3 linked regions of the Lonchura striata genome follow. The main gene of each other region encodes a partner of the protein of the gene in region 2 in a complex. Links are inferred from orthologs where the notes say so. Each region holds a gene or a part of one and is shown on either strand. Other genes may lie near its edges.

The links. Proteins that work in one complex are often made in the same cells at the same time.
Region 1: the proteins of NCAPH2 (region 2) and SMC2 are in contact, whole or in part, in a cryo-EM structure (PDB 9F5W), measured with the Homo sapiens proteins. The link is inferred for Lonchura striata from reciprocal best matches to the Homo sapiens genes NCAPH2 and SMC2. Residues at the interface, in NP_689512.2 of Homo sapiens: Glu46, Phe53, Ile54, Glu55, Leu58, Leu59, Gly62, Ser63, Ala64, Cys65, Val66, Lys69, Tyr73; in NP_001036015.1 of Homo sapiens: Leu93, Thr125, Gln128, Asp129, Cys132, Gly135, Leu136, Asn137, Met173, Tyr174, Lys177, Lys178.
Region 3: the proteins of NCAPH2 (region 2) and NCAPG2 are in contact, whole or in part, in a cryo-EM structure (PDB 9F5W), measured with the Homo sapiens proteins. The link is inferred for Lonchura striata from reciprocal best matches to the Homo sapiens genes NCAPH2 and NCAPG2. Residues at the interface, in NP_689512.2 of Homo sapiens: Pro316, Trp317, Gln318, Ser319, Leu320, Pro322, Phe323, Asp324, Ser325, Leu326, Glu327, Ser328, Lys329, Pro330, Phe331, Lys332, Lys333, Gly334, Arg335, Pro336, Tyr337, Ser338, Val339, Glu344, Gln360, Asp361, Phe362, Gln364, Trp365, Tyr366; in NP_001268861.1 of Homo sapiens: Lys248, Leu251, Gln252, His292, Ile294, His295, Leu296, Pro297, Arg299, Ser300, Val302, Lys340, Ala341, Arg342, Asn343, Ser344, Glu345, Val346, Pro388, Tyr389, Pro390, Arg393, Gly425, Glu426, Ala428, Phe429, Asp430, Thr431, Ser432, Arg437.

What each region holds. Positions count from the first base shown.
Region 1 is NC_134642.1:61,416,420-61,423,984, forward strand, and holds the start of SMC2 (structural maintenance of chromosomes protein 2), read left to right. Parts: upstream 1-4,464; 5' UTR 4,465-4,567; intron 4,568-5,051; 5' UTR 5,052-5,126; coding exon 5,127-5,294; intron 5,295-6,186; coding exon 6,187-6,336; intron 6,337-6,911; coding exon 6,912-7,034; intron 7,035-7,565. UniProt on the Homo sapiens protein: Central component of the condensin complex, a complex required for conversion of interphase chromatin into mitotic-like condense chromosomes.
Region 2 is NC_134607.1:72,683,208-72,690,827, reverse strand, and holds the start of NCAPH2 (condensin-2 complex subunit H2), read left to right. Parts: upstream 1-4,522; 5' UTR 4,523-4,577; intron 4,578-6,625; 5' UTR 6,626-6,717; coding exon 6,718-6,825; intron 6,826-7,620. Other genes in the region: LMF2 (lipase maturation factor 2), read right to left, coding at 235-431, 1,776-1,804, 3,103-3,356, 4,347-4,449. UniProt on the Homo sapiens protein: Regulatory subunit of the condensin-2 complex, a complex that seems to provide chromosomes with an additional level of organization and rigidity and in establishing mitotic chromosome architecture.
Region 3 is NC_134603.1:147,495,899-147,503,095, reverse strand, and holds the start of NCAPG2 (condensin-2 complex subunit G2), read right to left. Parts: upstream 3,102-7,197; 5' UTR 3,048-3,101; intron 2,380-3,047; 5' UTR 2,360-2,379; coding exon 2,285-2,359; intron 1-2,284. UniProt on the Homo sapiens protein: Regulatory subunit of the condensin-2 complex, a complex which establishes mitotic chromosome architecture and is involved in physical rigidity of the chromatid axis.

The DNA.
Region 1 (7,565 bases), on a different chromosome or scaffold from region 2:
TACATGGACAAACTACATTCATTTACTGGTGAACATGGTGATGCTAGGTTGGACTTGATGATCTAAAAGGTATTTTTTCCAATTTTAGCAGTTCTGTGGGGCACAGCAGTTGATGTGGGCTGACAAAAAAAGCTGAAGTTTCTTAAAGGGCCTGCTGTGCTTTCCTAGTCACTGCATGGCACCCTAAATTTCCTTTTAGGCACTTTTATTACTTCTGCCTTACTTAAATGTTGAAACATATGTTGTAGCATCAGTAAATGCAAAATTTTACCAAAACTGTAGAGACACCCCATGTAGCCCAGTTTCACTTCTTAGATTTGCAACAACAGGCCAGTACTGCCCCACAGAGAGAAATGTTTAATCTGCTTGATTTTACAACTGCCAAAGAAAGCTTTGGGTTCTTAAAAGCATAGATTTCTACAAATGTTAAACACCCCCTTGCAGTGTACAGATCTCTTGCAACATCATGACTAAGTGAACTCAGAAGGGAAGTGACAAAATTCGAGCTGATGCTTTCAATTTCTGTAATATAACAAGGGTAGCTTCATCACTGAACAAGTTCCTGCTTGAAACATGCACAACCAACTTCTCCCTCAAGACAGAAACCCGCTGCTCCGGCCTGCTTAGCATATACATACATCTGATCTGGTATCTGTTACCTTTTATCTTATAATATTTAAAAGACAGATAAATTAAAAATTAAAGGGACATGAGGAAAAAAAGAAGATGAAATGAACAGGTTTTATGCCTTTATTAGTGTTCAACTCTTTATTAAAAAGTCAGCTCGGCAGGGGGGGTGTTTGTAGCTTCTTCCGGTAGCTGAAGGGCGAGAAGGCGTACAGAGTCTGTCCCTGGAGTCTCCGTGGCACACTGGTAGCCAGAGGTGAAGAGGTGTCCAGTCTGTATCTGAAGTCCCGATCAGCAGAGCGTCCTCTCTCTTTTTCTCCTGGCACACTGGTAGCCGAAGGGTGGGGGGATGTGCAGAGCCTGCTGCTGAGATCCCGCAGCAGCTATCCCTCTCCTTCCCTCCTGGTAACACCAGGTAGAGTGTCTGATTCCTTGTGCCTGCTTCCCACAGCCCAGTCCAATCTGATCCTCTGCAGGTTATAGTGACAGGTTAAACATAGACTAGGGATGGGGTCCCTTTTCCCCAACCAACACACCCATCCAGCCCCCTCCACTGTGCCCCTCTTTTTCATTTTGGGGTGTTTTTCATCCCCAAAACCCCCTCCCATGATTCCACTGGCTTATTTTGCATCCTAGTCCTAGTTTGGGTGGGGGTGTAGGTGATTCCCAGGGGCGATTAGCTAATTAACATTTCAATGTCAGTACTTAGGTCGAGCCAAGTGTCCCAGCCAGGCTGTTTTGTTCATAACAGAAGAGGTATGTCAACAAGAGTCCAAGGAAACAAATTTTAAGAGTGGAAGTACAGATCAGATTGTACACAGACATGCGAAGCTGTATTACTTTTGAAAGATAAAGATTTCACAATCTCTTCAGGCAACCTGTTCTAATATCTGACCTTGACATGGCTTGGCAGGGGGAAATCTCAGGACTCTCCATGCGCCACTGGAAAATACTGTTTAGCAAACAACATTTATCATCTCTTACCATGCATTCCCCTCAGATGAGGTGGGTTCCATTCTCTTAAAACTGTCTTGCTAAGCAGCTAAAGAAGGCAGCAGAAACAATAGCTTTTGTTTCTGGAAACTGAACAAAGCCATTTCTCTCTTGATTTTCCTTCATCATCTTGGTGACCCTACTCTGGATTTGTTCATGTGTGTCAGTGACTTTCTTCTACTAGGGAACTGAGAACACTGGATGCAGTTGGATCCAAGTTCAGGGTAGTGGGGAAAAGATTCTGCTCTTCCAGGTCATGACTGTCTACATCTTTCATAAAGATATCAAAAATTATGGCTAATAGTGGGCTGCCAACTGGACTTTGTCCTCTGTTGGACATCCTCCAATTTAGGGACAAGTTTAACTCACCAGTTTGTCTCTGAGGTAGGGCTAGATGAACACTCAGATTTACAGAACATAGGAAATATCTCAGTCAGAATTCACAGTCATCATTCATTTGATCAGTATCATTCATTTGATCAGTGTTGATCACTGGCAAGAGGCAGATCTGTCAGGTGTCATATGTCACTGAAAGATAGCTTCTTTATCATGACACTGGGACTCCTAGGATGGCATTTTTCACAGATGCAATCCCACCACTAGACCTTCACTTACAGCAGGAAACACTTTGCTACTCCAGTCCTGTTGAAGGGTGTGGGAAGAGAGGTGGTTTGCCATTGAAGACAGGCAAAAAATTTGTTGAGTACCTCAGTTTTCTCATTCACTGCTACCTGTTTGCCAGCCTTGCATTTCCCACAGTGGTATGTGTGTGTACACTTTCTTTGACTTCTTCTGTCAAAGTAACATACCTGTAGAAACCCTTGTTGTTATTCTTAGCATTCCTTGTCAAGTTCAGCTCCAGATGCCCCCTGGCCTTCCTCAGCCCATCCCTACATAATCAGACTCCCTGTATTCTTCCCAGATATCTGTGTCTGCTTCCACTGCCTCCGCATGTCCCTCTTGCCTTTTTGTTTGACTCACTCATGCTGATTTCTTGCCTTCCTTACCCAATTTCTTGTGACTGGGCATCACTAGCTCTTGTGTTCTATGGAAGGTGTCCTGAAAAATATGTCACCTCTTGTAAAAAAGGCAGTTTTGCACAGGATTCTACTGACTAGCACATTGAACAGCTGGAATTTTGCTTCCCTGAAGTTCGATAAAGTTCTTATAACAATAATAAAACCATTCCTAGATAGCCAGCTGCTAAAAATATATTTTCCTTGCTCAAACCATGTGTTATATTCGCTCCAAGGTGCTAACTGCATGTTAAATATCTACAACCGGATTTATATTCCTTAAAATGAAGCACTCAAATTTAAGCCTTGTGACATCAAAGCTATTACAGATCTACTTAAGAACTTATTTCTTAATACTTAAGAAATTATTTTTCTTTCCCACATCATATGTAAATGGGGACAAACATGGCTGTCTTCCTATGATGAAGCCTCTCACATCAGAATTGGTTCTGCTTTATTACTATTTCCTTATTTCAGGCTGTGGTTAATCTGGATGGAAAAGGAGCAGGCGGAGCAGGTACAGTACTAGGTCCCCAGCTGCCAGCTCCATCAACCACACATTGAGAAGGACTTTGGCCATTTGAAGAACAACCAGGTGCCACCTTCAGTGTAGTCCAAGCAGCCACCTCTAACAGAAACAAACCAGGAACTTTCCTGCAGGCAAGAAACACTCCAGTATGTTTGCCACAGAAGGTAAATTCAAAAATAATTTGGGAGCATTTTCAGTTTGCTAAATAAAGAGTGGGCTGCATAGTTACACAGTATCAATCTGACTCTTGTCCAAATTAAAAATAGTTTTTCCCAATATAGGTTCCAGATGTAAGCAAGTGAACTGCAGATAAGGGACCATCAAGTACTTCTGGCTACAGTAGCTCCAGCAGCAGTGCTGTCACGCTAATGCCTTAAACAGCTGCATCCAATATAATTCGTGCAGCAAGCAAATGCACTATATTTTTCTTCCCTAATGCAATGTAGACCTTCAGTCTGAATTATTTCGAATTACTGAAATAACATCAAACTCAGTAGTCCAGGGCACAAAGTTTTACAGCAGACCTCAACAGTAACGCTGTGCAGCTGCAAAGTCCTGGTCTACCTACACAGCACGACAAAAGCAAGCTCAGAAACGAGTAAATGCATCCAGCCGACTTTGCCTTCCTGCTTTGAGCAGCGCAGCAATGGACAGACAGCTACCTTTCTTCCAATGACACGTACTCACGTTTTGAACAAGCTCTCCTTATTCTGCTCGAATGGAAGCATGTCTGTATAAATTACAATAATAGATTTGAACAGGCATAAATAGCGCTTGGGTTTTTTTTTTTTATTCTTTGGGGAGGAGGGAGTGGGTTAGGGGTGGCATAGTAGGAATGCGTGTAGGAAGTATAGAACAGCACTTCTTTGATTTTGATGTAATTTCAGGGAGGACAAAGCCACTTCCCGCCGCAGCCCGGAGCTAACGCTCAAGCTCCTCAGCCGCGCTGCAGAACTCACCACGAACTTACCAAGCGCCTTCCCGCCCACCCCCATCTCCCTCACGGGCGCCCGGCCGTCCTCCCCGCCATGGGCCGCCACCCGCCACTTTCCGCCCCCGTCAGAGCCGGAGGAGCCCTTTCCTAGCCGCGCCCGCCTTTCTGCGCCCGGTGCGCGCCGTCCCTCCCGGCCAGGCGCCCCCGGCACCGGCCAGGCGCCCCCGGCACCGGCCAGGCGCCCCCGGCACCGGCCAGGCGCCCCCGGCACCGGCCAGGCGCCCCCGCTGCGCCCGCTCCGCCGGGGTGGGGCGGGCCGGCCGCGCTGAGGGCGCGGCGTGGCCGCCATCAGGCGCCGCCCCTAACGGTCGCAGCGGTCGGCGCCAAAATTTGATCGTGGCGGGCGGCGCGGAGCGGGTGCGGAGGAGCGAGTGAGGCGCTGGCATCGAGGGACAGCCCTGCACGGGGGTGAGCGGGCGAGGGGCCGGGAAGGGAAGCAGGCCTCGCACGGCCGATGCGGCGCCAGAGGCGGCAGGGAGGGCTCGCTGGAGCAGGGCCGCGGGCGGCAGCGGTGGGGATGGGGCTCTGCTGGGTCCTCGCTCGGAGCCCGGGCTGCCGCTTCCCGGGATTCGTCCCTCGCGGGCGGTGAGGCTGGACAGGTACGGCAATTCCGCAAGCGGGAGAGGGAGACCGCGCCGTGTCGCTTTGCGACAAACCGTGGCTTTGCCGCGAGTCTATAGCCGAGTGTTCTGATAAACTGTGCGTAAAGTCCCTTAGAAATGCCGAAGTGCAGTTGGGATACTGCCTGGATCTGTGGTTTACTTGGCTTTTTTAGTTTATAAATGTATTATACTTTTGTTGTAAAAGGCATGCGTTCTTTCATTTCCTCGGGTCTAGTTGTTTGTTTGGCAGTATCATTCATTTGATTATTTTTTTTCTTTGATGTGTATAGGATTATACTCCGGATACCTTTCTCAGTGCTCAGAGGAATACTTGGCCTGGAATACCTTTTGGGAGCATTGGGAAGATGTACATTAAGTCAATTGTTCTTGAAGGTTTTAAATCCTATGCTCAGAGGACGGAAATTAGTAACTTTGACCCGCTATTCAATGCCATTACTGGCTTGAATGGTAGTGGCAAATCCAATATCTTGGACTCCATCTGTTTTGTGCTGGGAATCAGCAATCTGTCACAGGTAAAGAGATAGGACATTTAAGAAAAGTCTTTCTTCTGTTAGCAACTTTTAACGTTACTCTAGTGAGTAACCTCCCACGGAAGACCTGACATGGTGTGTCTTTGAAAGAAATATTTTCATTATTTCGATATTTCATTGCATTAATCTGGGTCTCTATCATTGTTGCTCAGCCTTATGTTGAGTTACAACTTCATCCACGTACCACAGTTACACAAGTATGTGGCTTAAAACAATATAGACTAAAAATAACCACTTAAAAGCTAACAGCTTCAAGCTAAAGGTCCTTTTTGCATCTACAGGCACTAATTTACTAATTTGTAATAAATGTTTTCAGTTCTGGATTAAGTCTTAAAATCTGGCTACCTGGTTCATCAGAAAAAGATTTAAAAGTGATTTTCATACAATGCTTATTATTTAAGTGATAATATATCTGCTTTATTTTTACTAAAATATATGTGCTTTGACATCAGTTTCAATCTCTGTCTGAAGATGATTTTTAAATTTGCTTTCTTTCCCATCCCTACCTTCCCCCAGCTGTTGACAAAGCAGGCAGCCCTCTAAGGAACATTTTCTGAATCATTTTCCTGTGAACTGCATTGTGAAAAATAAGTGTTTGTTAAATAAATTTACTGTCAGCTGGCTTTTTTTACAGATGTATTCAGTGTTTTTCAGGAGCCTCATGCAGAAACAGTTATCTGGATAAGTAAAACTAGACTGGCACACACTGTAGTTTCACAATGATAGCACCTTGCAGCTCCCGTGTGCCAGTTCACATGAACTCAAATATGCAGCTAGATCTTTGGTTTTTATATTGATTTCTCCAAGACCTACAGTATTACAATTAAAATGTTAATTTCTTTCAAAAAAGTATTTATCTGTTCCCTGAACTTAGGTGCGAGCTTGCAACTTCCATGATCTAATTTATAAGAGTGGGCAAGCTGGAATTACAAAAGCAACTGTGTCTATTAACTTTGATAATTCAAACAAAAGTCAAAGTCCACTGGGATTTGAAGCTAATGATGAGATCACTGTGACTAGGCAGGTAAGCCTTTAATATCTGTATTTTTTCATAACCTATTTACATTTTTACCATGCTCATGAGTGGGCAGGGAAAAAGGGGGTGATTTTCTGAGTTTCTGCAGTAGAGGCAAGGTTTCTATGTTGCTTTTATAGTGTAGTTAGTTAGAAAAACTGTACCAGTGTACGAGCTAGAAATGTTCATAAAGCAAGTTAAAATTTTCTACCTTGCGGCTTTTACTGCTTTCATATCTTTCTTCTTAATATCTGAACTCTGTGTTAAATTTGGCCTCCAATAGCGAAGGAACCTTTATTTTTCTGGTGAAGATGTTGGGTTTTGGGTTTTGATTACTTTTTGATTATTTTTTTTTAACGTAGAGTTTTTGGAAGGTTTCTTGACAGTATTTTCCTCAATGACTAATCTTATATTTTAGTTAAATATTTTCGATGTCAAACAAGTTCTGTTTTGATGTTCTGCACAGTTTGTACATACATACATATGCAAAAATATAACAAGTGTGATTTGCTCAGATTTTTTTGTTCTTTATTGCAGTTTATATTCTCACAACACCAAGCAGTTTTTTTGTCTTTGTTCTCTAGGTTGCTGTAGGAGGTAGAAGTAAGTATCTTATCAATGGTGTGAATGCTGCCAACAGTCGTGTGCAGGATTTATTCTGTTCCATTGGACTGAATGTCAATAATCCTCATTTCCTCATTATGCAGGTATTGTGTGCATCTTTATAAAATCCAGAAAGAGTAGGACTTGTACTAAATTTAAGATGGGGAGATAGTAGGAAAATAATTAATTCCTAATTAGAGTGTCATTTTACCAAGAAAAAATGAAGTCTGTTAAGTCATTAATATTTCCAGTACAGCATAGTTTGACCCTAAAACACATCTTGTAGCACAAGACCTCATGCGGCCCTCATGTTAGCAAAACTTTTCCGAAATATATTCCCATTTTATTTTTTTTTCTTCTTAACAGCTAGGTATTGCTTTTATAAATATTATAAAATGGTGGGTTTTATTTGCTATTATTTGTGCTCCCATGTTAGACAGCACCTTGAATGAGGTTGAGATATGTACCTTCTTAAGTCAAAATTATCAAAAGAAAGTTGACAAATTGGGAGGACTGTAAGGGACTAGGCAAATCCCTGAAATATTTGCAAGGAATAATAAAACAGAGGATTTATTGATTCAAAGGTAACTGTTCCAAGTGGATGCCAAAGTGAGGAACAGTTTTGTACATACTCT
Region 2 (7,620 bases):
CCAAACCCCCTCACCTGTGATCCCCCCCAGACCTGAACCCCCAAACCCCCTCACCTGTGAGCCCAAGACCTGAACTCCCAAACCTGCACACCTCACTAACACCTGAGCCTCCCAAACCTGCACCACTGACCAACACCCAAACTCCCAAAACTGCATCCCTCCCCTGTGAGCCCCCAACACCTGATCCCCCCAGACCTGCACGCCTCACTAACACCTGAACCCCAAACCCCTCACCTGTGAGCCCCCACCAGGTGGGGCAGCGGCTGCTGAGCTTCACCACGCCCGAGGCGAACATGAGGCGGAAGAGGAGCCAGCGCACGGCCCAGAAGGTGACGCCGTCGTGGGGTCTCCAGGCCGGGGACCCCCAGCGCAGCAGGCGCAGGGGGGCCACCAGCACGGCCAGGAACCCGGCCTCCAGCAGCAGGCTGTCCCTGGCCGTGGGGGACAGCGCTGGGACCCCCGGCCTGCACCCCACGCGGGGCTGGGGACACGGCTGTGCCCCACTTGTGGGGCTGGGGACATGGCCACGTCCTGTATGTGGGGCTGGGGACACAGCTGTGTCCCACTTGTGGGGCTGGGGACACAGTCACGCCCTGTATGTGGGGCTGGGGACATGGCCGTGCCCTGTATGTGGGGCTGGGGACACAGCCACGTCCCGCTCGTGGGGATGGGGACACAGTCACGCCCTGTATGTGGGGCTGGGGACATGGCTGTGCCCTGTATGTGGGGCTGGGCACACAGCCACGTCCCACTCGTGGGGATGGGGACACAGTCACGCCCTGTATGTGGGGCTGGGGACATGGCTGTGCCCTGTATGTGGGGCTGGGCACACAGCCACGTCCCACTTGTGGGGATGGGGACACAGCCACGTCCCGCTCATGGGGATGGGGACACATTCATGCCCTGTATGTGGGGCTGGGGACATGGCTGTGCCCTGTATGTGGGGCTGGGCACACAGCCACGTCCCACTTGTGGGGATGGGGACACAGCCATGTGCCGCTCGTGGGGATGGGGACACGGTCACCATCTAAATGCGGGGCTGAGGACACAGCCACACATCACATGTGGGGCTGGGGACACGGCCATGCCCTGTCTGTGGGGCTGGGGACATGGTCATGATCTATATATGGGGCTGGGGACATGGCCATCCCCTTTATGTGGGGCCGGGGACAAGGCCATACAATGAAAGAGGGGCTGGGGACAGGGCCATCCTCTGTATATGGGGCTGGGGACATGGCCATGTCCTGTATGTGGGGCTGGGGACACGGCTACATCCCACTCGTGGGGCTGGGGACATGGCCACACAGCAAAAGTGGGGCTGGGGACACGGCCACACATCACATGTGGGGCTGGGGACACAGTCATGCCATGCTTGTGGGGCTCCCCACCCTGATGTGCCTCAGTCCCCAAAGTCCCCCACAGCCCCCATCCTTGTCCCCACAGCCCCTGTCCTTGTCCCCAGAGCCCCCCACCCCACTGTGCCCCCACCCCAATCCCCAGAGCCCCCCCCACCCCTCACTTTGGTCCCCAGAGGTCCCCACCCCACTGTGGAGCCCCTTGTCCTGGTCCCCAGAGCCCCTCGTGTCCCCCACCCCACTGGGACCCTGTCCCACTCCCCAGACCCCTCTGTGCCCCCCATCCTGGTCCCCAGAGCCCCCCACCCCACTCCAGCACCCTCTGTGCCCCCCACCCCTCTGTGCCCCCCACCCTGGGGTCCCGGGGTGGTTCCCCAGCCCCGAGCCCCCCAAAATCCCTGGGGAGGGGGCTGGACTCACCACTGGAAGTACAGGAAGACCTGTCCCACCTGCGGAGAGGGAGCGGGCGGGGGGCTCAGATGGGGGGGTCTGACACCCCCAGACCCTTCCCCACGGGAGAGACCCCCGGGGCCCCCCTGGCACGGGAATCTGGGCCAAGGAGCAGAGGGAGGTGACAGCCAGCCCTGGGAGGTGACAGCCGCCCCTGGGAGGGATGGCCTCACACAGATCATTTATCCTTCCTTAATTTCCTGATTTCAGAGGGAAGTGAAACCTCCTCCCCCCACACCCGGCTCTGACCCACTGGAGCTCCAGCCCCAGGGAGGGTCCAGGGAATCCTGAGACGGTTTGGATGGGAAGGGACCCAAATCTCCTACAGTGCCACCCCTGCCATGGCAGGGACACCTCCCACTGTCCCAGGCTGCTCCAGCCCCAGTGTCCAGCCTGGCCTTGGACATTCCAGGGATCCAGGGGCAGCCCCAGCTGCTCTGGCAATCCCAGCCCAGCCAGGAATTCCTCATTCCCAATCTCCCATCCATGGCTGCCCTCTGGCAGTGGGAGCCATTCCCTGGGTCCTGTCCCTCCATCCTTGTCCCCAGCCCCTCTGCAGCTCCAGGCCGGGCTGGGTGGCCTCGGGCACGGCAGGAGGTGTCCCTGCCCGCGGGGGCTGGACCGGGCTGGGATTCACAGCCCCTTCCCACCCCAACCATTGCCTGGCTCCATCGCTGTGCCTCCCTCAGCACACCAGGAGCGGGCAGGACGAGCCAGCGCCCCGCTGTCCCTGCTGTCCTCACTGTCCCCTGGCTGTCCCCACTATCCCCTGCTGTCTCCCCTATCCCCTCTGTCCCCTCTGTCCCTGCTGTCCCCACTGTTCCTGCTGTCCCTGGGTGTCCTGGCTGTCCTCGCTGTCCTCACTGTCCCCCCCTATCCCTGCTGTCCCCTCTGTCCCCTGGCTGTCCCCACTGTCTCCTGCTGTCTCTACTGTCCCCCCTGTCCTTGCTGTCCCCTGGCTGTCCCTGCTGTCCCCTGGGCTGTCCCCGCTGTCCCCTGGCTGTCCCCCCTGTCCCCTCTCTCCTCACTGTCCCCTGGGCTGTCCCCCCTGTCCCCTCTCTCCTCACTGTCCCCGCTGTCCCCTGGGCTGTCCCCGCTGTCCCCTGGCTGTCCCCGCTGTCCCCTCTCTCCTCACTGTCCCCGCTGTCCCCACTGTCCCCTCTCTCCTCACTGTCCCCGCTGTCCCCTGGCTGTCCCCTCTCTCCTCACTGTCCCTGCTGTCCCCTGGGCTGTCCCCGCTGTCCCCCCTGTCCCCTCTCTCCTCACTGTCCCCCCTGTCCCCTGGCTGTCCCCCCACCTGGTACAGCGACAGGTAGAAGGCGGCGAGCGTGGCGAAGAGCAGGCAGTCCCGCAGCGCGTCGCAGAGCAGCGCCCCGAGGGCGCCCAGCGTGCCCAGCAGGCACAGCAGCTCCATGGCCTGCTCCGTGTCCAGCCCCAGGCGCGGGCCCAGCCACAGCAGCGTGGGCACGTCCCGCAGCTGCTGCCACAGCCCCCGGCCCGCCGGCCGCAGCACGCGCCGCGCCGGCAGCAGCCCCCGGCGCCCGTACAGCCCTGCCGCGGCGCCACGTTTACCCAGCGCGGGGTAAAAGCAGGGCTACAACTCCCCGCGGCAGCCCCTCGGGGCTGGGGGGTCTCAGGGGGGGCCTTTCCATAATTTATTTCCCAAAAATGGAACCTAATTCGGGGTTAACCCCAGATTTCCCCACTATCCCGGTTCCCCCGGCCGCACTCCCCGCCCCATCCCGGTTCCCCCGTCCCTATCCCCAGCCCTATCCCGGTCCCCCATCCCTGCCCCGGCTCTGTCCCGGTTCCTCCATCCCTATGCCGGCTCTGCTCCGGTTCTCCAATCCCTATCCCAGTTCCCCCACCCCTATCCCGGTTCCCCCGGCCCCTCTCCCATCCTTGTCCCGGTTCCCCCATCCCTATCCCGTTTCTCCCGGGGTTCTCCCGGCCCCACTCCCGGCTCTGCTCCGGTTCCCCCATCCCCATCCCGGTTCCCCCAGCCCCACTCCCGGCTCTGTCCCGGTTCTCCCGGTCCCACTCCCATCCCTATCCCGGTTCCCCCAGCCCCACTCCCGGCTCTGTTCCGGTTCCCCCGGCCCCACTCCCATCCCTATCCCGGTTCCCCCGGATCCACTCCCGGCTCTATCCCGGTTCCCCCGGCCCCACTCCCGTCCCTATCCCGGTTCCCCCGTCCCTGTCCCGGTTCTCCCTGCCCCACTCCCGTCCCTATCCCAGTTCTCCGGCCCCACTCCCGTCCCTATCCCGGTTCTCCCGTCCCTGTCCCGGTTCTCCCTGCCCCACTCCCGTCCCTATCCCAGTTCTCCGGCCCCACTCCCGTCCCTATCCCGGTTCTCCCGTCCCTATCCCGGTTCCCCGGCCCCACTCCCGTCCCTATCCCGGTTCCCCGGCCCCACTCCCGTCCCTATCCCGGTTCCCCCGTCCCTATCCCGGTTCCCCCGGCCGCACTCCCGGCTCTGTCCCTGTTCCCCCGTCCCTGCCCGGTTCCCCCGGCCCCTTGCCCGTTCCCCGCGGCGGTACCGGGGATCTGCACGTAGAGCGAGCCGAAGGCGGCGATGTAGACCGCGGCCAGCCCGGCCAGGAACAGCGCCCGCGGCCGCGCCAGCTCCGCCGCGGCGGCCATGGCGGCGCGGGCCCGGCGGCGCGCACCGTGACGTCAGCGGCGCCGTGACGTCAGCGGCGCGCGGGGCGCGTCACGGAGCGCGGGAAGGACGAAAATGGCGGCGGCGGCCGGGGGATGAGGAGGGGCCGGTGAGGGGCGGGACCGGGGACGGGCACCGGGACCGGGGACGGGCACCGGGACCGGGGACGGGCACCGGGACCGGGGACGGGCACCGGGACCGGGGACGGGCACCGGGACCGGGGACGGGCACCGGGACCGGGGACGGGCACCGGGACCGGGGACGGGCACCGGGACCGGGGACGGGCACCGGGATCGGGGACGGGCACCGGGACCGGGGACGGGCACCGGGATCGGGGACGGGCACCGGGACCGGGGTTGGGATGGGGACGGGGACCGGGGATGGGATGGGCACCGGGACCGGGGTTGGGATGGGCACCGGGACCGGGGATGGGATGGGCACCGGGATCGGGGACGGGCACCGGGAGCGGGGTTGGGATGGGGACGGGGACCGGGGATGGGATGGAGACGGGGATCGGGGATGGGCACCGGGACCGGGGATGGGATGGGCACCGGGAGCGGGGTTGGGATGGGGACGGGGACCGGGGTTGGGATGGGGACGGGGACCGGGGATGGGCACCGGGACCGGGGATGGGATGGGGACGGGGACCGGGGATGGGATGGGCACCGGGACCGGGGATGGGGATGGGATCGGGGACGGGCACCGGGAGCGGGGTTGGGATGGGCACCGGGACCGGGGATGGGATGGAGACGGGGATCGGGGATGGGCACCGGGACCGGGGATGGGATGGGGACGGGGACCGGGGATGGGCACCGGGACCGGGGATGGGATGGAGACGGGGATCGGGGATGGGCACCGGGACCGGGGATGGGCACCGGGACCGGGGATGGGATGGGGACGGGGACCGGGGATGGGCACCAGGACCGGGGATGGGATGGAGACGGGGATCGGAGATGGGGATGGGCACCGGGACCGGGATCTGGATGGGGACCGGGACCGGGATCGGGGTTGGGGTTTGGATGGGGACCGGGATCGGGGTTGGGGTTTGGATGGGGATCGGGATCGGGGTTTGGATGGGGTCCGGAATCAGGGTCATGATTGGAATTGAGGTTTGGGTGGGGATCAGGGTCACAGTCGGGTTTGATCTTTGGATGGGGACTGGGTTTGGGATCGGGATCATGGTCGGGATTGAGGTTTGGATGGGCACTGGGATTGGGATCAGGATCACATTGGGATCAAGGTTTGGATGGGGACCTGGGACCAGGGTCAGGATCCAGTCAGGATTGAGGTTTGGATAGGGATTGGGATCAGGGTGGTGGTTGGGATCAAAGTTTGGATGGGGACCGGTAGTGGGATCAGGATCATGGTTGGGATTGAGGTTTGGATGGGCACTGGGACTGGGATCAGTCAGGATTGAGGTTTGGATAGGGATCGGGATCAGGGTCGTGGTCGGGATTGAGGTTTGGATGGGGGCCTGGATCGGGATCATGGTTGGAATTGAGGTTTGGATGGGGATCAGGATCAGGATCACAGTCAGGATTGAGGTTTTGCTAGGGACTGAGATCAGGGTCACGGTCGGGATTGATGTCAAGAGTGCAATTGGGGTAGGGATCAAGATGGGAATTGGGGTCAGGGTCTGCATGGGGATCGGGATCAGGATTGAGATTGGAATTGAAGTTGGGGCTGGGATTGGGGTTGACGTTGGGATCAGGACTGGGGCAGAGTTAGGGGTGGGAATTGGGGTTGGGGTCTGCATGGGGATTGGGGTTGGGATCAAGATTGGAAATGAAGTTTGGGTTGGGATCGGGGTTGAGGTTGGGATCATGGACCGGGGCAGAGTTAGGGATGGGAATTGGGGTCGGGGTCTGCATGGGGATGGGATTGGGGTAAGGATCAGGGTGGGGACCGGGATCGGGGTTGGGATTGGGCTCCAGATTGGGATTGAGTTTCAGGTCGGGCTCAGGGTAGAGACTGGAGTTAGGCTCAGGATCAGGTCAGGATTGGGATCACGGTCAGGGTGAGAATCAGGGTCAGGGCTGGGATTGGGGTCACAATCAGGATCAAAGTCAGGCCCAGGCTTGGCAGTGGGATTGGGGTGGGGCTTTTCCAGCCCAAACAATTCCCTGTAGCCTGAGCTGTCTCCCCGTTCCCACGCAGCCGAGCCGTGATTCCTGCAGAGCTTCCCCAGGACACTCATTCCAGGGAGCAGCTCCCAGCCGCCTCTGGGCTCTCTGCAGGGGGATCCCACCATGGAAGAGGTGGATTCCCGCTTCCTGCACCTGCTGCAGCCCATCCGGGACCTCACCAAGAACTGGGAGGTGGATGTGGCTGCCCAGCTCGGGGAGTACCTGGAGGAGGTAACGGGGACACCCCCAGAGCTCCTCGTGTCCCCTGCCCTCCTTTGCCCTCTCCTTTTCTCCCTCCTTTTCTTCCTCCTTTTCCCTCTCCTTTTATCCCTCCGTTTCTCCCTCTTTTTATTCCTCCTTTTCCCTCTCCTTTTTACTCCTTTTCTTCCTTTTGTCTCTCTTCCTCTTCTTTTCTCCCTCTTTTTATTCCTCCTTTTCTTCCTTTTATCCCTCTTTTTCCCCCTCATTTTCTTTCCTTTTTCTTCCTCTCTTTCCCCCTCCTTTTATCCCTCCTTTTCCCTCTCCTTTTATACCTCCTTTTCTCCCTCTTTTTATTCCTACTTTTCCCTCCTTTTCTTCCTTTTCTCCCTCTCCCCCTTCTTTTCTCCCTCTTTTTATTCCTCCTTTTCTTCCCTTTATCCCTCTTTTTCTCTCTCATTTTTTTTCCTTTTTCTTCCTTTTCTTCCTCTCTTTCCCCCTCCTTTTATCCCTCCTTTTCTCTCTTTTTTCCTTTTTTTATTTCTTTTATTCCTCTTTCCCCTTCTATTTCTTCCTCTTTTTATCCCTCCTTTTCTTCATTTTTTCCTTCCTTTTCCTCCTCCTTTTCTCTCCTTTTTCCTCCTTTTATCTATCCTTTTCTTCCTCTCTTCCCCCTCCTTTTTCCTCCTCTTCTTCCTTTTCTTCCTCTGATTCCTCCTCCTTTTATCCCTCCTTTTCTTCCTTTTCTCCTTCCCTTTCCCCCTCCTTTTCTCTCTCCCTTTTTCTCCTTTTATGCCTCCTTCCTTTTCTCCCTCTCCTTTTTCCTCC
Region 3 (7,197 bases), on a different chromosome or scaffold from region 2:
AAAAGAGACAGTCAAAGGTAAAAACTGAAAAGAATGAAAGAAGCAGCAGTAAGTATCAGAAAGTTCTCAGAAGGATATGAGAAGAAAGATCCTGTTACATATTTATCCTATCCTACACCTGAAAACAAATACAATAAACCAAAGGCCTCACAGGGAGTTCTGCAGCCCTGTGCTTTAAACAAACCCAAAAGATAGGATATTAAGATTGTACCGTTTTGAACAGAAAGAATCAACTCGTAATAAGATCAGTGCTTTTAGATTTTTCTTTGGGATGATATGAGACAGAATTATTCCAAAATCTATGAGGAGAAAGGATGACAGTGAATGACAATCATATCTGTGATTCCTATTTTTCTGTCTAAGAAATTATTCTTATATTCTTATTCTAAGAAATTATTCATATATTTTCTTGAATTGGAATAGGATTTAGTGGAAAAAACTAACAGCATCTGCTGAAGATCTCAATGAAGAGCACCACATTATGACCTTTTTAAAATATTACAAAGGAAAAAATGAAAAGCCCATGAGAAACCTTGACAGAAAATTAGTAAAGCCCTGGAAATCTAGAAGACACAGATGAATCTAAATATTTATAGAGTGTGGAAAAGAAAAGTTCAAGGGGGAAGCAAAAAGGGGGTTGGGGCGTAGGTAGAAAACAGACACTGAAAGAAGAAGTGATGCTAAATACTGAACTTTGAAGAGAGTTTAAAAAGTAAATTCTAAGGCTAGAGTACCAACTAAGTACCAAATATAATACACAAACTAAGGGAAGCAGTGAAGCTTTATTGATGATCTATTTAACCACAACCTCCTCCAGAAAAGCAATCAAGAATTTTTCAAGGGAGATCCAAAAAGGAGGATCCTCATATTAAGACATGGTCACGCATCCTCCATTGTTGGAGGTTTCAAAAGGAAATTAATAAAATAATTGGAGTACCTTGGACAGTCAAAAAGTCATGTGAATATTTGTGCTCCCTTATGCTCCAAAGACATGAAGACAATTTTAATCAGCATACTCATTTTAGCTGGTGACATAAAATTTCCAGAGATATTGGCAACAGCTGAAAACTGCTGCAAGAGAACTGTGAATTGGTGGTGAAAAACTAAAGGATGAAAGAAACCCCAACCATTTTAAATCCAAATAGCTCATGGCACATTAAAATAAATTACTGATTGCAGATGGCAGAATCAACACAACCAAATCAACTGAAAAAGAAACACTGTAAGTGAATACTAAAGTGAATAGTTTTTTGTTAAAGTGTTCAGATTTAAGGAAAAATGGGAAGGAGACTTTAATCAGAGGCAATCTGGTAATAAAGTTGTCATCCATACAGGAACACAAATGAAAGGAATAGCAAATTTCTTGGGGAAAGATTCAAGGATGTTTTGGAGACAAACTCTGTAAGCTTATTATATACAACATGATGGTGAGTTTAATAGTTGCTACATTAAATCAGTTCATGCCTCTGTGCACACAGAGGTCAACTGATCCACTTTATCCTGGCACAGGTACTGCCAGGAAAATACCCATTAGAAAGCTTAAGAAATAACTTGACAATTCCATTTATGGCAGCAAGCAAAAGATGTTGAGAAGAGTTCAGCTATATCTTAACACCAGACAGATTGAAGGTGAGTGGAAAACCCCTCAATGCAAATTATTATTTCTATTATTATGCAATATATATATAATATGAGAATGAGCTTTCAATACTAGATTTCAGGGGATTTGTTTTGTTGTTCCTCCCTGTTCTCTCCACACTTCCTTTCAAGAGAGCAATCTACCCCTATTCTAAAGCATTCAGTGATAGAAAGAACAATCAAGTAAAATTAAACATGGACCAAAGAACAAGTGGACAGCCCAAACTTTTAAATGGATGAAGAAATTCTAGTGAAACACAATTCTGCTACGTTTGTACATAAACTCTTATTCATCATATACCAATACTCTTTCATGGGTTGAAATTTAACAATGCAATATTTCAGCAACACGAAATTAATATTTGTTTAGAATTAATTACACAAATACTAATAATTTATTCTTTAAAAATGGTATGTGGAACAACCAAATCTCAAAAAATCAGTTGGCTTATAAACATTCATATTTCAGATTCCACCACTTTTTCAGCCTATATTCCCTCAAGTGCCACTTGAACTTATTTTCTACAGCAATTACTCCCACATATCAGACAAATAGTTTAGTTTCTGTCCCTTTGTCACATGATTTCTGCACTTGTAAGAGACTTATGACTCCAGGAGTGATAAACGTATACACTGGCTCACTTACACGATTCTGAGTGTAGCACAGGAAGTCTTCAATTGTCTCTTTAGACACAACTTGCAAAAATGCTTCGCGTTTCATCCTGGAATTGGTCTTCCCTACTTTATAACCAAAACATAATGTTAGAGAAGGTACTGTACACCAAAACAAGATCATTTTGGTCTGTTGTAGTCATCTATCAGTTATATACATAGCATTAATTTATATATGTTATATATTACAGTAGTTATACATGCACTACATAGTTAAAGCAGTTTTCCCCTCCAACATATTTTAGTTATCTAAATCAGGATTTAGATTCACAACATCACTAGGCTGCAGGGCTTGTTTTCTTTTTCGTGGTGGTTTTTTTTTTTAGTAAATAAGTCTTAAAGCAGAATAAATTGCTAATGAATACTCTGATTTTTAAAAAGCACAATGCATTCTTAAGCACAAAACCGCTATTTAAACTGGTTATCAGTCCCAACAACAGTATTTATTTATATAAGAAGCACTAAGGGGTAGTAAAGAAAAAGAGAAGTAATTTCGTCTATCAAGAGAAAACCATGGGAAATGGACAAGGCCACCAAGAGCCTTATTTGCGCACGTTAACATTGCCTCCATGCTAGGTGTCTCCCGACGTGCTTTCCCAGGTGGGAAAGTGACTTACACAGCATCAAGTCACATCACAGACCGGGGCGGGGGCCGCTCCCGGGCCCCGTCCCGGGGCACCCGGGGGCTCGGCCAGGCCGGGCCGAGCAGGCAGCGGAGAGCCGGACGTGCCGCTTACCTGGGGCTCCCTCGGAGCGGCCGAACCCTCACGGATCCGCGGGACGCCTCAGCCGAGCGAAGAGCCCGCGGCGCACGGCAGCAGCGCCGGAGGAGACACCGGCCCCGGGAGCCGCTCGGAGGGGACACCCGGGGACACCCCGAGGCTCCGGGGACGCTCCGGGACCCTGCTGGACGCCCCGAGGCTCCGGGACGCTCCGGGACCCTGCTGGACACCCCGAGGCTCCGGGGACGCTCCGGGACCCTGCTGGACACCCCGAGGCTCCGGGGGCGCTCCGGGCCCCGCCCGGCCCTTCCCTCACCCGCCACTTTTCGAATCCTCCCGCGGCCGGCGTTGAGCGCGCGCCGCGGAACTCCCGTCCCGTCTCGCGAGAACTCGGCCGCAGCCCCCGCCCCTTCCCGCGCTGAGGGCGGCTGGGGGAAAGGAGGCCGTGAGGGGGCGCAGGGTTCCAAACTCGGGGACGCACGGTTCCAAACTCGGGGACGCACACGGTGAGCTGGGCTGGAAAAGGCTCCTGAGGTCACCGAGTCCAGCCGATGACCCAACATCACCAGGTCAACTAGACCATGGCACTGAGTGCCACCTCCAGTCTTTCCTAGACACCTTCAGGGAGGGCGCCTCCAGCACCTCCCTGCGCAGCCCATTCCAATCGGCCTTTCTGTAAAGAAATTCCTCCTAATGTTCGACCTGAACCTCCTTTGGTGCAGCTTTTAACATTTTAATAATAATAAAATGGTTATAAAATAATAATATAATTAGAGTAATAAAGTTTAGAGTTAGGATAATTATAAGACAATAAAAAGCAAAGAATTACAGACCTTAGGATGCTCTTGGACACTAAGTCACGAAAAGCATACCTTGTGAACAAAGGAATAACCTTAAAAGCAATAGCCTGTTGCATATTCATATATCTCATACATGATGCATAAATTTTTTGCAAATTAAGAACTTTGGGTTTTGTCAACTTCTCCTTAATTTTGTTGGTTCTACAAAGATGGAGAGAAGGTGGAAGTTTCTGACTTTTTATGGGCCCTGCTCGCTGACATCTCTATGTGAAGAGTTTCTTGATTATCTCCCTGCTTGAGCTTGTAACAAATCTTATATCGCAGAGTTTCTATTTTAAGATTATGCTGTAACTTAAAACTACATTTAACACACTACATAAGAAAATGAATACAGCATAACTTTCTAACATTACACATATTTATTGTAACATTTGCGAAAAGCCAATCATAAAATTTTTTCATATCCCAGCAGCTTTGGCCACGCTGAAAGCTCCTTCCTCTGCTGCTTTCTGACCCAGGCTGGCTGGAGGCACGGTGACATCCATCACTTACCCAGAGGCAGCTGCCATCGTTCAAACCCACCGCCCCGCTCACTGTTGCCTTTCTGTACCTGCCTGCAAAGCGTCAGTGCTTCCAAATGGGGGTAAGACATGATCAGTTAAATTCATTTTCATGCTTAGGAAACAGAATTCCTTCCTCCATGGATCTCTGGTAACGTGGACATAAATGCTTTTATAGAACATCATGCATATGATTACACTGGTGGCTTTTTTCTCCAATAATGTTATTGTTGCTATTGCTGACAGCTATGCTTTTCCTCACAGTCCTGGTGAACAATATGAGTACTTTGCACTCTTCATCCAAAAGCAATCAAGAGTTAAACAGCCTATATGCGAGAATGTACAGAATATATGCCAGATTATGTAAACCAGATAATATTTAGAGTTTGATAACTAAGGATTTTTTTAATGTATCAGGAAATTATATCTTCTGTTTCTTCTTTGCAGTGTTTGGAAATAGAGTTAGATTTTGAATTCTATAATATTCCCCATTCCATTTATTTGAGATCTTCTGCAAACCAAAACAGTCAAAGTGTATTGTTAAGGGCTTAGTTTGTATCTTTCCACTTGGCATTTTCAGTAGTGTTGGCTGTTCAGAAGAGAGCAGTACATAACTGAAGCAATTTACTTCCAGTCTGTAGAAGCAGTACAGAATGTGCTGCTCTACTGTGCAAACAAACAGAAACCCAACTATAATTTCCATAGAAGTTATCATATCTGGTTGGACTTTTCAGGACTGTAATTTTAAAATATATTATGTAACTCAGAATTTATTTCATATTAAAGATAAAAATTCACTCCTTTAAAAGTAGCATTTACATATTCTGCTGTTTTAATTTTTAACATAGATTCTTCCTTAATGATCCTGCCTTTCACAGTTTTAGTTTACATTAAAAAATAAGATTTTTTGCATTTTCTAGCACATTTATTTGATAAAAGAAGCTGGCTTTTTCACATCCTGTGGACCTGACTTTATATCCCAAGTTACATATTCAGCTAAGTGCAAGGAGCCTGTGAAACAGTTTGCTTGGAATAAGTTGGATGGGCAATCAGCATACCTGTAGAATTATAAAAACAAATTAAAAAGTATAACCCCTAAAATTTATACATTATGCTAATGTATGCTTATATTAAAAATTTTCTGCATATATTAAAAATCTTTGCCATTTTAGATACAAACTGATGGATTTATTATCATGACTCATGTAGGCTGAATATTTCATTAATACCTTGATTTGTCTTTTAATTAGATGCCACTTTAGTCACCTGGTTACTGTTTATTTAGTTGGGCACGTATCATTTTAGCAAACAAAATAAAACATATTTTAGTTTTTAACTTCTGTTGCATAGCAACCACAGAATGGTTTGTTTCACAGTATTGAAACTAGAAGTTGACACAGATAACAACAGGCTGAATAACACCAAGTGATTCATTTTAATGGACCATATAGAGAAACCAGAGAGACAGAATAATGTTTTCTAGGTTTTTTTCAAGAACTGTGCATGAACTGCAAGCCAGTAATAAACCTACAACTCTATTTTCAGTTTCTCTAATATTCTCCCTTTCAAGATTACCAAATTACATACCTCTCTTTGACATATCTGTTCATCTGTTCAAAATAATCTATACACTGTGATAATAATCTCATATTTATTATCATTTTCCTGTCAAGTTAAGGCAAAAATGAAAAATGGGCCTTTCGCACATGGTTGCTGAGCAACAGCAAATAAAGATTTGCTTTTGTGCTACTGCTTCATGAACCAGTCTTTATTCTTGTTGGTGGTCTGCATTACAGATCTCGGTTACAGATGGCTCACACCAGAATATTGTTTGGACTAGAGCAAGCATTCCATTTCAACCCATAAGAGTCAACAATATAAATAAAAAATAAACAGGTAGTTCCCTGTACGTCAGCTACTTTCTTGACAATATTTTCTTATATTTACAATGTTATTTTGTAGATAATATTTTCTTATGAGATTATTTCACACGTTATCTACTACCATGTTGGAGTTGTAACTTCTTTTTCTTTGAATATGTAATAAAACTTGTTATAGTTAAAACAGTATGAACAAAATCTGCTCATCCTCTGAGGCAGGCTGTTAATAATTTACATGCATGCGTTTCCCTTGATTTTTTTTTTTTTTTTTGATCTTCACATACTTTGATAAATAATCTGAACAGCATGGGAGAGAGATGAAGTTTCACACTATTCCACTTCTCTCCAGATCTCTCCTTGCCTGAAGGTAATCCTGCCAATCATGCCATCCTTTATTCAGAGGCAACTGTCACTTCTCAATGCTGGTGTGATTAGACCGTGAAAAGGCTTATTTCCCTTAAATTATTAATATTAACATGAATCAATTTTAGAGTTTAAGAGATTAAGTAGGGAAAAAAATCACTGCAGAAGAAAAAAAAACGTATCCTTGTTAACTCACATAAAAATAAGGAAACAAAATGCGCAGAGGGAAAGCAAAAGCTGCTGGGGAGAGCCACTCCCTGGAGCCGCTGCCGACGGAGCCGCAGTCCTGAGCTGCCGCCCCGCGGGAGCTCCCCGCTACTGCCGGGCTCTGCCAGGAGCCACACCCAGTCAGTTTAAACCAGGAAAACACTGCAACTTGCATCTCGTTGCTTTGTTGTGATGCTTTGTGACAAAATACTTAGTCATTACATCTTGAAGGGGGCTGGAGGATGGAGACGGGCTGAGAGAGCTGGGGGTGTTCAGCCCGGAGGCCTGAAGCCTCTGGAGAAACTTTAGAGCACCTTTCAGTGCCTAAAGGGTTTACAAGAGAGGAGAGGGAATT